Ovis aries: one gene and its partner. The protein of the gene in region 1 purifies or fractionates together with the protein of each later gene. This does not show direct contact. Links are inferred from orthologs where the notes say so. Each region holds a gene or a part of one and is shown in the gene's direction. Other genes may lie near its edges.

What was found.
Region 2: the proteins of TSR1 (region 1) and RIOK2 fractionate together in Homo sapiens (co-fractionation; 3 studies listed by BioGRID and IntAct, with this or other methods). This does not show direct contact. The link is inferred for Ovis aries from reciprocal best matches to the Homo sapiens genes TSR1 and RIOK2.

What each region holds. Positions count from the first base shown.
Region 1 is NC_056064.1:23,192,677-23,196,757, reverse strand, and holds the start of TSR1 (pre-rRNA-processing protein TSR1 homolog), read left to right. Parts: upstream 1-1,158; 5' UTR 1,159-1,191; coding exon 1,192-1,288; intron 1,289-1,475; coding exon 1,476-1,579; intron 1,580-1,893; coding exon 1,894-2,113; intron 2,114-2,229; coding exon 2,230-2,364; intron 2,365-2,734; coding exon 2,735-3,159; intron 3,160-3,882; coding exon 3,883-4,042; intron 4,043-4,081. UniProt on the Homo sapiens protein: Required during maturation of the 40S ribosomal subunit in the nucleolus.
Region 2 is NC_056058.1:94,230,435-94,234,082, reverse strand, and holds part of RIOK2 (serine/threonine-protein kinase RIO2), read left to right. Parts: intron 1-1,355; coding exon 1,356-1,444; intron 1,445-3,552; coding exon 3,553-3,648. UniProt on the Homo sapiens protein: Serine/threonine-protein kinase involved in the final steps of cytoplasmic maturation of the 40S ribosomal subunit. Involved in export of the 40S pre-ribosome particles (pre-40S) from the nucleus to the cytoplasm.

The sequences.
Region 1 (4,081 bases):
CAGCCACTGCCCGGTGCTGTGCTCCGCAGCCATCTTCCGAGCCCCGCACAGACGTCAGGAGCCTGGCCCGGCCCCTTCCCACTGCCGGGGGCGGGGTGGGGGGGTGCGCTCCGCCACGGGGGGGGGTCGAGCGGGGGGGGAGACTGCGCGTGCCTGGGGGCGGCGTGCCCGGGCGCGCGCCCCATGGGCCGCTGTCATGGCAACGCGCCGGCTCCAGCCCCGAGGGCGCGAACCCGCATTGTGAGCGCCAGTCGCCCGCCCTGCACAGCGCTGGGCTGGGGAGGCGGGGCGCGCCCCTGGACCCCCCCACCCCCAGGCGGCTAAGAGGGGCAAGTTGCTCTTGCGAAAGCTGGCCCCATCCAGCTGGATGTTCCGTGATTCCTACACGCTCGATTTCCCGACGGGAGGGACTGGGACCTCCGCGCCTCGAGTCTGATTACTGGGAAGCCCATGTTGGTCCCCCGGCTGGGAGGAAGGCTGTGGCGCACCATCGTTTCTTTAAATCCCCCTGCCGGCTGGGCGCCCTCCGTTGCAAAGCTTGTTGGTGGAGGAGTGGGAGAGCAGCCGCCCCCGTCTGCAGAGGCGCGGTTGGGTGTGAGAGCGCCAGAGTCACGGTCACGACCCGTCTGGCTTTTCTCGCAGCTACATGGGACGTGGGGGCGCGGGTTGGGGTAACTGGGACCAGGAGGAACTGGCACGGAAACTGGAGGTGAGACAAGCGCCTTCCGCACGATTTGCTTGGTAGGCTTAAGCAGCCCCACCTGGGAACTGAGGGCGACAAACGGTGGCCCAAAGTGACAAAGAACACCTGATGCTCCCAACCGAGGAGCTGCGTGCACAAAGCTAGCTGAGAGGAGGGGCTTAGCCCTCTATCGCACAAATGGAGAATCTTCCTAAGTGATGCAACATGATAGCGTAAAAAATATCAAAACTCAAGGAAGCATATCGGCCCTCCGAAACTGAAAGCCCAAGCCTCGAGCCCGCATCCGGTGTTTTCAAGTCCCCCAAAGCAGACCACCAGCTTGGGAAAAGTTTACACGGAGGTTTCTCCTAGAGGTGTGTGTAAATAAACCTCGCGAGAGATCGCGAGGAGCCCCGCCCCGCTAGGGGAGGACACGCCCCCGAGGCGGGGACCGGAAGCGATCTATTCAGCCCGGAAGTAGTGGCGACTTGGTACACGTGAACGGCAGCATGGCGGCCCATCGCTCTGGCCCGCTTAAGCAGCAGAATAAAGCGCATAAAGGCGGGCGGCATCGGGGTCGAGGATCCGCGCAGCGAGATGGCAAAGGTAAGAAGGTAGGGTTGGAGGAAGAAGAGCTGTTTAATCGATATTAACTGCTGTTCTTCGTGCCCAGAATGAGTTACTGCTTCCGGCCTGGACCTCGCGCAGAGGGTCTAAGGAGGGCAGACAGGGGTCCCCTTTCTTGACCTGCCAGTGCTTTGCGCAAGATCAGAAAGGTCTGATATCCTTCCAGGCCGTCTAGCACCGAAAACCCTAAGCAAGAAGGTGAGAAAAGATCTCAGCAGGGTGGACCAGAGGCATCGCGCCAGCCAGCTCCGAAAGCAGAAGAAGGAGGCGGTGAGAGAACTGGGGGTTAGGGGACTGGTGTGGCTTCACAACTTTTATAGGCGGGTAATGCCTCGAACTAGAAAATGTGACTCTGGGAAGGGCTCAGAGATGGAGGATAAGTCTAGAGCACGTGTCAGGTGTGCAGGCTATAGCTTTCTTTGCTTTGTGCCTACTTCCTGCCCACCTCCTTGGCATACATGACACCTTTTAGCAAGAGAGACACTGGTTTGGAGGCTGAGGATGGGCCTCTGTACTGTTGGAAATGCAGTACTGGAAAAAAGTATTGAAACATTGAGGTGTTCTCTGATGCTTTCTTTCCTCAGGTTTTGGCAGAAAAGAGACAGCTTGGCAGCAAGGATGGCCCTCCTCATCAGGTACTGGTGGTGCCCCTGCACAACAGGATTTCTCTGCCAGAGGCCTTTCGGCTCCTTCAGGATAGGGACACTGGAACTGTACACTTGAATGAATGGGGAAGCACCCATAGCTTTATGCTGTTATGCCCCCGCTTGAAACATCGGTGGTTTTTCACATCGGCAAGGCCAGGTTAGAGTATGCAACAATATTTCCTATCATTATGTTTTGAGCATTAATGGTAATACTTTGTAAGTAAAATGTCCTGATGTCAACCACCTTTTCCTACTGACTGTCTTCTATTCCAGGGGATCTGCATACTGTGTTAGACATGGCTAAAGTGGCTGATACCATCCTGTTCCTCCTTGATCCACTAGAAGGCTGGGATAGCACCGGGGATTACTGCCTTTCTTGCCTGTTTGCTCAGGGCCTTCCCACCTATAGTAAGTGAGTTGGAAGTATTGCAGGCCAAGAAAGGAAGTGAATTAGCATTTATTGTTCACCTCTAATTTGCCAGATACTATGTCTAACGCTTGATATTTTTGGGGGGTTATACGAGTATGTGTGGCCTTAACTTGGTCCATTATTTACAAGTCATATATCAATGTGCCTATTTCTGGACTGCCAGTTGCCCAGAGAAAGGAGAAGATTATGAAGTTTGGTTTTATTGTGAATTTCTTTAGTGTAACTGAGTGTTGGGTTGCCCAGTGATGTCTGGGCTCACAACTAAACTATTAGCTTGTTTGTGAACTGCAGAGGGGGAGTTTCATATAGTGAAGCAACGTCATGAAACCTTTTCTTTTTTGCTCACAGCGTTAGCTGTCCAAGGGATTTCTAGCCTCCTGCTGAAGAAACAAATAGATGCCAGAAAAAAGCTAAGTAAAGCAGTGGAGAAGCGCTTTCCTGAGGACAAACTCCTCCTGTTAGATACTCAGCAGGAGGCAGGGATGCTGCTCAGGCAGTTGGCTAACCAAAAACAGCGGCATCTTGCCTTTCGAGATCGGCGTGCCCATCTATTTGCTCATGCTGCTGACTTTGTGCCTAGTGAAGAGAGTGACTTGGTGGGCACCTTGAAGATCTCAGGCTACGTTCGTGGGCAGGCTCTGAATGTAAACAGCGTGCTGCATATCGTTGGACATGGTGATTTCCAGATGAAGCAGATAGATGCCCCTGTGGACCCTTTCCCTTTAAATCCAAGAGTGATCAGATCCTCAAAGGACTCAGGCACAGCAATGGAGGTAAGATTGGTGTTCTTAAAAACTATGTTTTGTACGTTCATGGATGAGAACTAATTAACGTCAGAGAAAGTGGTACACACTTGGACAAATATCCTAGTCCCTGGAGGTAAGTGTCAAATAAGGCAATAGTCAACTAGAAATAAGTTGATGTATCAAATATTTATTCAGTGCTTTGTAGATGCTTTGCATAGCAATCGGCTCTGAGTCTATAGATAGACACAGATGTAGTCTCTCTCCTTAGACAATTAGGTCAGAAAAATGGCAAACACCTGTGAAATAAAGATTGAGAAAGTATGGTTGAGCTACATGCTTGCAGTGGAAGTTGAAAAGACTGGCAAGATTCACAGAAGAGATTGACTTGTGCCAGGTATTGAGAAGGATGAATGTGTTTTATAAGTTGAAAACAGATGGAAGAATATCCCAGCAAATAGAGACAACGTGAGCCTACGCAAAGTGATAGATCAAAGGGTTTCTTGAACTCTGAGGATAACAGTGGCTGAGAGTAACAAACAGGTAGGCATGGGATCAGATTATGAAAAGCTTCAAGAGCTAAGCAGACTTATAGATTTAGAATGCTAGAAAATAGAACCATTTGAAAAATCCTGACAAGTTTTGGCTTTCTATTCTATTTGAGGACTGTGCTCTTCTAGATCGTTCTAATTTGTTAGATTTAGTAGATTTTTGGCTCACACTTAATTGACTGTAAACTGTTTGGGTTTTCAGATTTGTGCTGCAGATGCTGTAGCTGATATGGAGGAAGACCTGAAGGTTCTAATGAAGGCAGACCCTGATAGACAAGAATCTTTGCAAACAGAGGTTATCCCAGATCCAATGGAGGGGGAACAGACCTGGCCCACAGAGGAGGAGCTGAGCGAGGCACATGGTTGGTATTGGCAAACTTGAAATTCATCTAGCCTAGAAT
Region 2 (3,648 bases), on another chromosome or scaffold:
GAGTTTTGAAAACTAGGGGAAATTATTCAGATAAAATCAACGTTTACAGCATTGTAGGTTTTTTTAAAATGGAGCATTGACACAAGCATCTTAGTTGGTACTGGTACACTGAAGAAAGGTTTGGTGTGCAGAGCTAGAACCATTGCTGATGTGGTTGGGGTAACAATGACAAAGCCCTGTTAGAAATGGCAGCATTCCAAACGGCACAATGCAGAAAACCAAGATATTTTGAAGGAAGTAATAACAACACGATTTTGAAAGCAGTAGGATAAGAAAAGTTAAGCATAGCAAAAAAATGAATTTATGGATGGTGGGTAGTAACATTTGACTCAGACTACCAGTGCCAACAAAGGTCCGTCTAGTCAAGGCTATGGTTTTCCAGTGGTCATGTATGGATGTGGAGAGTTGGACTGTGAGGAAAGCTGAGCGCCAAAGAATTGATGCTTTTGAACTGTGGTGTTGGAGAAGACCCTTGAGAGTCCCTTGGACTGCAAGGAAATCCAATCAGTCCATTCTGAAGGAGATCAATCCTGGGATTTCTTCGGAAGGAATGATGCTAAAGCTGAAACTCCAGTACTTTGGCCACCTCATGCGAAGAGTTGACTCATTGGAAAAGACTGATGCTGGGAGGGATTGGGGGCAGGAGGAGAAGGGGACGACAGAGGATGAGATGGCTGGATGGCATCACTGACTTGATGGGCATGAGTCAGTGAACTCCAGGAGTTGGTGATGGACAGGGAGGCCTGGCGTGCTGCGATTCATGGGGTCACAAAGAGTCGGACACAACTGAGCGACTGAACTAAACTGACCGGTGTTTGTGACTACAGTGACTCTTTGTCACACAATAGATTGATACTGTGGTCTGAAGGAAAGAATCAGTGCTCTATAAACTAAAATGTCCGGTATACTGAAATATTTCATTTTCTGATATACCAGAAGACAGTATTTCCTAAATCACAATTTATTTCCATTTGAATTTTTTAAGCACACTCCAGTAAATGACAGAAACTTACAAAATAGAAGAGGATATACATGTCCTAAGAGACTAAACTTCTTGAGGGCAGAGACATTTTCACACTCATTTTTGTAACCCTAGCACAGTGTATATTTGGTAAATGTTCAATAAATGAATGTTTGGTAAAAAAGTGAATTACAAAACTGATTTCCAATTTTATTTTTATGTACAGCTCATCCTCCTGTGCTGTGAATAAGCCATACGTAGTCATGTGTTAACTGTAATTTTGTGAAGGTTGTAATTTTTTTTTCCCTGGTTTTGGACAGGTACATTTAACTTTATTGTTTCCTAAAAATTAATGACCTCTTCATTACTTTTTACCTGTTTTGCTATATTTTAGGCATTGTATGAAAGGAAATTTCCGGTTCCAAAGCCAATTGATTATAATCGCCATGCAGTGGTCATGGAACTCATAAATGGCTATCCTTTGTAAGTATTTATTATTCTTAAAACCGTGAATTCCAATAAATAGTTGTAAGGTTCAGGTTTTTTTAAATGAGTTTTTTTCATTGAATGGAGTATGACTTTGGGGAGGTTAGAAATTAACATAAAGTAGTAGAAATTAACATAAAGGCAAATTGAAAATTCAGTTTCATTCTGACAATGTGGATTTTTATTAACAATCTAGTGTGTGCCAAGCACTGTTCAAGGCACCACAATAAACAAAGTCCCTGTCCTCACAGAGCTTACATTCTGATGGAAGGAAACTTGCAGTAAATAGCTGAACAAGGAATTATGTGATACATCAGATAGTGGTAAATGCTGTGGATAAAAATAGAGTAGGGTAAGTGGGGCAAGAAATACTGAGATAGATGTGGAAGGCTGGGAAGATCAGAACAGTTCTCATTGGTAAAGGGACTTTTCAGCAGAATCCTGAAAGAAGCGAGAGAAGAAACGATGCAGATATCTAAGAACATTCTAGGCAGAGAAAAGAGCAAAAGTCCTGAAATGGGAGCACACCTTCATGTTCAGGGAACAGTGAGGAGCCGCTGGAGCTGGAGCTGAGTAAGTCAGGGAGAAAATTGTGAGTGATGAGATCAGAGAGGCAGCCAACTATTTTGGTAGAGAGGATATATTTAAATATGAAAGAAAGTGGAAGTGTTAGTTGCTCAGTCGTGTGGGACTCTTCGCAGCCATATGGACTGTAGCCTGCCCGGCTCCTCTGTCCATGGAATTCTCCAGGCAAGAATTCTGCAGTGGGTTGCCATATCCCTTCTCCAGGGGATCTGCCTGACACAGGGATCGAACCCGGGTCTCCCACATTGCAGGTGGATTCTTTACCATCTTCCAGGGCTACCAGGGAAGCCCAACACTGAGTAACTTTAAGGTTGATGTGATACACTTCTGTTTCCTCACATGACTGCCGTTGAGACAATGTCACAGGGACTATTTTGTTTGAGACAGAAAACAATCGGAGGATTATTTTGGTGGCAGTGACAGTGCTAACCACTGACTGCCAGGGAACTCCCTGCCATCGGAGGATTTTTGAACTGATAAGAGACATGATCTGACTAATGCTGTAATGGGATCACTCTGGCTGCTGTATTGAAAATAAACTAAAGAAAGACTAGGACAGGATTAGGAAGAAAAGTTAGGATTATTATAATTCTCAAAAGAGATGATGGTAGTCTAGATCAGAGTGGTAGATGTGAAGGTGAGGGAACGTTGCCAGATTCTGGATGAATTTTACAGTCAGGGCCTACATGATTTGTTTGAGATTGGATATTGATAAGAAGGAAGTAGCAAGTAAAGATCTGGGTCCTGAATAATGAATTATTAGAAGGATAAAGTTGCCACTTTTAGAAATGGGGAAGGCTGCAGGAAGACAGTTGGGAGTTAGAGAGTGGGGCAGAATCAGAGGTTCACTTGGGGACATGGTAAGTTAGAGATGCCTAGAATCTCAGGGGAAGTCTAGATTGAAGTCTGTGAATGAGATCAAGAATGGTGAAGACAATAGGTTTTAGGATTAGATTTTGAGGAGCTCCAAAATTTATAAGTCAGGGAAAAGCTGAAAAACCAGCTAAAAAGACTAAGAAGGAATGATCAGTGCAGGAAGAGGACCGCCTTAAGAGATAGTGGGCCAAGGGTCAAGTGAAAGGATCTGCTTCAAGGACTGGGAAGGGATTAGCTAATAGACCAGATTATGATAATCAAGAACCGACCATTGGATATGGCAAGTCATTTGGAAGTCATTGGTAGTTTTGACAAGAGCTGTTTTATTGGAGCAGGATGAATGAAAGCCTGTTTGAAATGGGTTCATTAGAATGGGAGGAAAAAAATTGGAGAAAGCACAACTAGAGGAGTTTGGTTATAAAGAATGCAGAACAAAGAATGTGTGTAGTAGTGGAAAGAAAATGCAGATTTGAGTGGGTTGTAGCTTTTTTTTTTAAAATAAGAGGTATCATATCATGTCTATATGCAGATAGGAATGAAGAGAGAATAGAGAGGCTTGAAGTGGAAATGATATGTAAATACACCCGTGCTTGTTTTAATTAAAATTATGAATGAGGACAAATTAACCATTTCCATACTTTCAGATGTCAAATACACCATGTTGAAGATCCTGCATCAGTATATGATGAAGCTATGGAACTAATTGTTAAACTTGCAAATCATGGACTGATTCATGGAGA